Sus scrofa: one gene and its partner. The protein of the gene in region 2 binds, or shares a complex with, the protein of the main gene of each other region. Links are inferred from orthologs where the notes say so. Each region holds a gene or a part of one and is shown on either strand. Other genes may lie near its edges. The genes, in order: PPFIBP1 and ERC1.

What was found.
Region 1: ERC1 (region 2) and PPFIBP1 share a complex: the UniProt entries of both Homo sapiens proteins name them as parts of the cortical microtubule stabilization complex. The link is inferred for Sus scrofa from reciprocal best matches to the Homo sapiens genes ERC1 and PPFIBP1.

What each region holds. Positions count from the first base shown.
Region 1 is NC_010447.5:46,220,324-46,224,239, forward strand, and holds the start of PPFIBP1 (liprin-beta-1), read right to left. Parts: upstream 2,557-3,916; 5' UTR 2,350-2,556; intron 1-2,349. UniProt on the Homo sapiens protein: May regulate the disassembly of focal adhesions. Did not bind receptor-like tyrosine phosphatases type 2A.
Region 2 is NC_010447.5:68,251,235-68,255,050, reverse strand, and holds part of ERC1 (ELKS/Rab6-interacting/CAST family member 1), read right to left. Parts: intron 3,174-3,816; 5' UTR 3,019-3,173; coding exon 2,350-3,018; intron 1-2,349. UniProt on the Homo sapiens protein: Regulatory subunit of the IKK complex. Probably recruits IkappaBalpha/NFKBIA to the complex. May be involved in the organization of the cytomatrix at the nerve terminals active zone (CAZ) which regulates neurotransmitter release.

The DNA of each region.
Region 1 (3,916 bases), about 22 Mb from region 2:
CAAGTCAACATCTGTCCATAAAGGCCAGATTCTCCTATTTTAAATAACTATCGCAACTATGATAGCTGCTGGTCAAAGAATTTAACCAAAACCTGATCCTACCTTTCTCAATAACTCAAACATTGTTCTAGTTTTGTCCCTTCTTTTGGCTATGGCACGCAGTGGCTTGATATGGCATCTCAGTTCCCAGACCAGGGATTGATCCCACGCCACAGCAGTGAAAACATCAAGTGCTAACCACCAGACCACCAGCGAACTCCCTCAAACTTTCTCCTTTGAAAGAACTGTGTTTTACTATATATCACATCTTCCTTCTACACACAGAGGGAGCAAGAAAAATACTGGTTAAACCAAGTATATAAAATTACTGTTACTATTCAAAAGTGTGAATGAAATGTAAAACTTTGATATATTCAAGTCCCTAAGCCAGGACTCGTTTCTTGAAAAGGAGTATAAATAAATTTGAACTTGGCTCATCAGGATAACATCCTTGAGATACTACCTGACTGGTTTTAGGCTCCAGTGAACTCTCACCAGCCCACAAAAATTCTACCTCACCTCTTGCTCTTTCCTGCTGAAAAAGTACATTGGAAAACACAGCATGATTTATGTCCTTCCTACAGAATATAAATAGAAACGATTTGGTCACCGTTATTTCAGAGACATGAGACAATTTCTGTTTCTTAGTCCAAAACACACATCGAAATGAAAATGTTCTGGCCTTTCCAGTCAAGCACACCTTCCCTTTGCAAAAAGCCTGATCTCTATCCACCTTGTGCTAATTAAATTTTCGAGAACAACAATACAGATCCAGGTGTTTTATAAACAACAGCAAAAACAAAACAAAACAAAAAAAAAAAACACACTTCTTTCTTGCCCTGAAACTTAACTGTCACCTGGTTAGAAAGACAGAGAACCTCATGTATGAAGTCTTGCATCTCCACACTTGCCAACTTGGGTTATCAGGTGCAATTTGGTGGCTTCTTTCTTTCCTCCTGTCGGGGAAATGCCCTTTGGTTCAGGCACCTGAGGTGCAGCTTTTGATTCACAGTGAAGTCCACAGTTTCCTCCCAACCTGGCAACAGAAGGCTCCTCACTGCTGAGGAACTCTGGTAAAAGCAAAGGGAAACCTGACTCAGGAGTCTCAGCGCAGACACTCTCTTTCCTTCTCCAAAAGAAAGAGCCTTCAGCGATGATGAGTGAGGATCCTGAATCAGTTTATGGAGTTAATTTTTTTCACCAGAAAACAACTGTAGGACCTGGGCACACAAAATCTCCAAGCAAGAAATAGAAAGGGTTTGAAACCACAAATAAGCAAAAATCAGAATTCTACACTTCCACTTGTCAAAATACCCTTTAGCTCTCGACAGGCCATTGCTTTCCCTAAATACCAAACTTAGACACTCAATCAGGTTCTTCATCTATTGCTCTCTGCACTTCTTATTGAAAGGAAGGATTTGTTTTGGTCCCACATGTTGGAAAATTCATGTTCCTATAATTAAGAGTTTGTATGCCACGCCTTCTGCCACATTTCCCTGTAAAAACTCCCTTCTCTAAAAAGGATCCATGAAAACAACTACCAGCCCTCATCTTTCTCTCAAGCAATCCACAGAAGACAGATCCAAAGGTTCTCGGCAGCCTTCCTAACCCCTCCAGATCACAAAGTTGGCAAGCCATGGGATTCTCCGCTAAAATGTAAGAATGAAAACGAGTTGGCGTTGAAGTGTGCCCCCAAGAGACCGGTTTTCCCACAGGCTCAATGAATTTCCCACACCCCAAATGAATTCCTCAAATCTTGACTATGGAAAAGGATTTTTTATGTTATTATGTAAGAATATATAAACATAACAATGACAGTCTTTCATTTAAAGCAACGCATAATAGGCCACAGGAGAACCAAAAAAATACAAAACTTTTCTCCTCTCTCAAAGAGCATAATGTTTGAGTCCATATTTCATAAACTTTTAGTGACATTTTAAAAGAACACCCCTACACACACACACACACACACACACACACACACACACACACACACACACACACACCACTCCTCTGATCGGGGTTCTCAAGTATTATTAGAAGACTAGGGTGTGGGGGGTTTAAGGACACAGTCAAGATTTTACATGTCGAATTCCGGAGGTATTTTTCCCATACAAACTAGTTGAGAGCCCCAGTTGTTAAGCCCTACCGCACCCCGCAAAAAGTGTGGGTTCCCACTGGGAGAGAGGAGTGAGCTGGGAGAGAGGAGTGAGCTGGAAAAGGAAATCGAGTGGGGAAAAGGAGGAGCAGCTACAACCACACAACGGTGCCACTGCTTGCCGGTCCCCAAGAGAGGACAAACGCCCTTACCTGGGGGAGGAGAGCCGCCCGCACGAGTTGCAAAAGTTCTGGTTCACCTTCGCTCGGAGTTCAAAGCGCCGGCCCTCTGCCCCCACGGCAGTCTGGCCACTCCGAGTCCTCTCCCGGCCGGCTCCCGCCTTCCCCACCCTCTCGGCCCTACACCATGTCAGGAATCCGGGCAGGCACCGAGCTGGGAGCTGACATCACTCCCAGTTCCAGGTACCTCCCCTCCCTCGCGCCCGCCCGCCCGCCTCCCTCCCCGCAGAAATTAGCCAAAGAGAGGACGCCGGGGGGGCGTTGGCGCGCCCCCGCTCGCGCTGATTGGGCCCGCGGGCTGTCAGTCAGAGGAGCCCACTAATTTTACACATTCCTCGCTGAGCCCGGCAAGGGCTGGAAGTGGGTGTTGATGGAAAAAAAATGCTGCCTTTCCTGCTATCTCTAAGGGAGGGAGAATAATGGTACGAGGAAGATCCTTGCGGGTGGCGTTTTAAACTTTTCTTGGCGCATTTACCCTCTCCCAGGTCGGAAACGAAACTAACCCACCCAAGCCCCCTTTTGAAGGAAAAACAGTCGCCTCTGTGTCACGGGCAAGTCCGAGTCCGGCGGCGCGTGGAGCAGAAAATGGCTAGCTTGAAGTCAGGCAAATAAAGGAAAACGCCAGCTCCCTCTGCTAACCCTTTTATCTTGGGACGGCTGGGCGTTCCCTTAGACGGGAAATTTAGAACTTCAAAAGCACTTCGGGAAGATGTGAAGGAGAATCCTAGAAACCGCGACCCAGCTCTGGGTTGTTAACCGGGGGTGTTATCCACCATGCGGCGGCTTTTGCTTTTAGCGATGGAAACCCAGCACACGAGCTTCCAGGCAAATAAAATTGAACCTCTGAAGAACAATTACTATTTACCTTTTTAAAGATCTTAAGGCTGCTGTTTCCATGCACAATTGAAGGGGGATGGGGGTGGGGGAACCTCACAATTGAGTTCAGCAAGCCACAGGAGAATAATTACTGTTGAATGGAACCAATTGCAGTGGCTGAGGAATCAATTAAGAATTAACTAACGTTTACGCTGACAGCTATCAGGCAGTATAATACTCCCGGCCAACAAAACAGAAAGATTCCCAGGAAATGGGTCTTTCAGTTTGCCTAATAACTGCTTGCAAGGCAGGACTAAATGGTGAAAAGTGGCCCTCTTTACATGATATATAGATATATTATCCATCATCTTCTGGAATTACAATGAATGAATTATTGGTTTCCTGTTGGATTTTATTGTTTGTTTTTTTGATGGATGACACGTCATACATTTCACCATCCTGCCAAAAATTGTAGAAGGGAGGCAGAGAGTCCACCATTGTGTCTCACTTCAATCTTCACATCCATCCTGTAAAGTGAGTGTCATTAGCCTCATTTTAACCTAAAGGAATCCAAGGCTCAGCAAGCTTAGGTAAGTAAATTGCTCCAGAACACCCAGGACTGGGGTTGAAACCCAGGTTCATTTGACTCTGAAGCTATTTATTCTCTTTAAAGTAGTGATTGCCCACAGTCTACACTCACTCCAACACTATCATGCTAAAAAAA
Region 2 (3,816 bases):
ATTATGAGGCATAATAAAAAAAGTACAATATCTCATTTGATGCTGGTTAAAATAAAATCAAAAATATAAACCATTCAAAGCCTTAGCTTTGCAATTCAACCAAGTTCATAGCTGGATTTTTATTCATCAAGTAAACACATCAAAAGCCTTCCACCAGAGTTCCTGTTGTGGCTCAGCAGGTAACAAACTCTACTAGTATCCATGAGGACTCTTTCTCTGGTCCGCTCAGTGGGTTAAGGATCTGGCATTCCATTTCGTGAGCTATCACAGATGCACTTGGATCTTGACTTGCTGTGACTGTGGCTGTGGTGTAGGCTGGCAGCTGTAGCTCAGATTCAACCCCTAGCCTGGGAACTTCCATATGCCATGTGTACAGACCTGGAAAAAGAAAAAAATTTAAAAAATAGCCCTCCCCATTGTCAGTTTCAAAAAAAAAAAAAAAAAAAAAAGACCTTACCTGCTAAAACATATATTGTTCCATTTCTCCAACCACCAGTATTTGAAAGTTCAGTAACAAAAGTAGTATGAAACATAAAAATAGATGGATATTTATTTTAGAAAGAATCTTCTAAAAGGACTTCATAATAATGAATCAGGCACATTAGACATTCTAAGCACAGGTGTATTTTTCATTTGATAGGATTCTAGACAAGATCTCTATGGTCCAATCAAATCAAACATTTAGAATGTATCTAAATCCCCGATCTCAAACTGAAATGGGGAAATTTGTTTAATTACTGTAAATCCTATTAAACCAATCTTCTCTGTAAAGTGGAAAATGTCTGACCTCTGAGGGCTGTGGAGGGTGTAATGAATGCAGAGTTTAATTAGGGCCCACTGCTGGCTCACTATAATCTATTAATTAGCATTCTCAGTTCTCTATATCTCATTGCAGTGTTTCACTTTGCTTTAAAATTGCACCCTTCGTTTTTTGGACCAAAGTGATACAATTTTAGGATTGTGTGGTAATTACAGTGGGTGCAGGAAGCATCTATTCCTGCCAGCACTAGTATTTAATTAGGGCAAGGGGCGGAATCTAGATAAAGCAGTGTTCACCCTCCCTCAGTGCATATGGTTTTTTGGCATCATAGCCCTGCGGACTGTTTCCCTTCCCCTGGATTGAACTGCTGAGTCCCCACCATAGTCTTTACAGAAGACTCCAATATTTTGCCTTTGAATGTAGCTTGGTAATTAGAGAGGTTATTGCCATTGCTTTTTATTCACAGATCTTTTAAAGTATAGGCATAATTAGCTGCCTGAATTACTTGAAAATAAAGAAGCCAGTATTTTTTTCCTCATTAAAATGAATATTTCCAAGTTGCTTGATAATAAAAACCATCCTGGTGATAGGAATATTTTCAGCAGCATCACAAAGGTACTTTGGAGGCTACTTAATCCAATGATGAATTTAATAACCTCAATTTAACATTCAACTCCTACCAAAATCCACTTTATATTTTACATATAATCAATCACACCAAGTTGCCTTTCTTCCACCCTAAATCCTTAAATTTGAAGAAATAAAAAATTCTTAAAAAAGAAAAAAAAAAAAAGGATCCTGAAGTTAAACTTCATAAATGTGAAAGAACTGCTACTCATTTTTGGTACTTAATACATATTTACACCATTAATATTAACTTTTAACTAATATCCATTCTATACTGTCAACATATGAATCTGCCTTGTGATAGTTTAAGATTTTTTAAAATATTTACAAAGGTAAATCTTAATACTACACCGCACACTTAAATTACATAGCCTGAATAATTTTTTTTTTTTTTGTCTTTTTAGGGCCACACCCGAGGCACATGCAGGTTCCCAGGCCAGGGGTCCAATCGGAGCCTGACTACAACATAGCCACAGCAACTAAGGATCTGAGCTGCATCTGCGACCTATACCATGCCGGATCCCTAACCCACTGAGCAAGGCCAGGGATCGAACCTGTGTCCTCATGGATGCTGGTCAGCTTCATTGCCGCTGAGCCATGACGGGAATTCCACAGCCTGAATAATTTTGACGACAGACCTTAGAGCATGTAGGAAAATTACATTCTCACAAGATTTCAAAAAGGTAATATATGCTGAAGGAAAAGAAGAGAAAGAGAAGCTAGGGAAAAGAAATGCAAGTATGGTGAGCAACCAGAAAACAATTAAGGCACAGAACCAATTTGGAAAAGGCTGAGACACAGAGAACATAAAATACTAAGAATAACAGGAAAAAGGAAAATAAATGAGCCAAGAAGGGAAAAACCTCAGAAAGAAAAGAAAAAGAATAGCTCATTTCATTTACACACATGAATTCAGTTTCACTTATTCAGAGCACGTAAAGGCAAACACATATAAAACCAACCTGGTTTTCCTCCTGCACAACTCTATACTGTTCCTTCCAAATAGTGATTTTGGAAGCTTCATCTTTTCTCAGGGCTCGTTCTTTCTTCAGCTCTGGGCTCCAGAAGGTCTTGATGCTATTCATTGAAGAACTTAATTTGCTCTCCTTTACTTCTACATCCTTTCGCAAGAGATCATTCTCTCTTAATACTTCCTTCAGCTGTGTCTGAAGATCCATGATTGTATTATCTCTTGCCTGACGAAGAGAGTGAGGAACGGTAGATGCCATGCTCACAGGAGGGAGGTGATGCTCTCCAAATGCGATAGTGTCACTAGCAACCCCACTGCTCGCTATATTGGGGCTACTGCCCATGGCAGTCATCCTCACACCATAAGGCAGACGTCCTCCAGATCGGCCAAGTGTCATGGTGCTTTTAGGTGTTTCTGAACCCACATTTTCATGGTCACTTAGGTACATAGGGCCAGAAGTGGCATAGGCAGCATTCAAGGATTGAATATTCTCCATTGAAAGGGTTTTCCCACTGCCACCTCCGACACTGCTTCCAGAACTCCCTCCTGTACTATTGGTTCGACGATGACCCAAGCGAGGGGAACGTGGAAGCCTAGGTGAACGCCCAGGGCTCTGGTTGCTTGATTCCACCTTCCCAACTGAGCGAGCACTTCCATACATGGTTGCAAGTGAATTCAGGTGCCAGGACAAGTGTAAAGCAAAACCAAAATATGGAACTCTCTGAGGTTTCTCTATGGCTGTAAGTCCGCTTAAGGCTAATCAGAAATAACAGGTCCTCAGCTGTCCAATCTTGAAGAAATAGCTTACGCCATTATCTGCAATGAAAAGATCACACATTAACTCCTCCAATAAGAAACATTTCCCTTCTCAGACACTTTTAACTGACCCCACTTGAGGAATAGCTCCCCTTTAATCATGTTTACTCATGCATTTGTTCAGAGCACAACTTATTTCTCAGTAAACATCACTCTAAAAACATCCACCATGTCTCAAAACTGAATATTGAAACCAAACCAAGCAAATGGAAAAGAAAAAGAAATAAGAGGTATAAAGATTAGCAAGGAAAAGAAAAAAATAGTCAATGTGTGAATATACGATTTTCTAACTGGAAAACCCAACATCATCAACTGACGAGTTATTAGAACCAATAACAGAACTCAACCAACTGCTTAGGTACAGACCAATACATAAATATCAATACTTTCCTGTACATCAGTAATAATAATTAGAAAATGCATTTTTTAAATAGCAACAAAACCATAAAAACACTTTGATATCAATCTAACAAAAATGTTCAATAATTTTTGTAAAAAAACCATAAAACTTTCCTGAACAAAAGGAAAGTTATCCATGTTCAAGGATGAAAAGACAAACACTGTAAAGGTGTCAGTTCTTCCCCAACCACTTCACAGGCCAATGAAAATTTCTACGGCATCCTTCATAACCGGCTAACTCGAA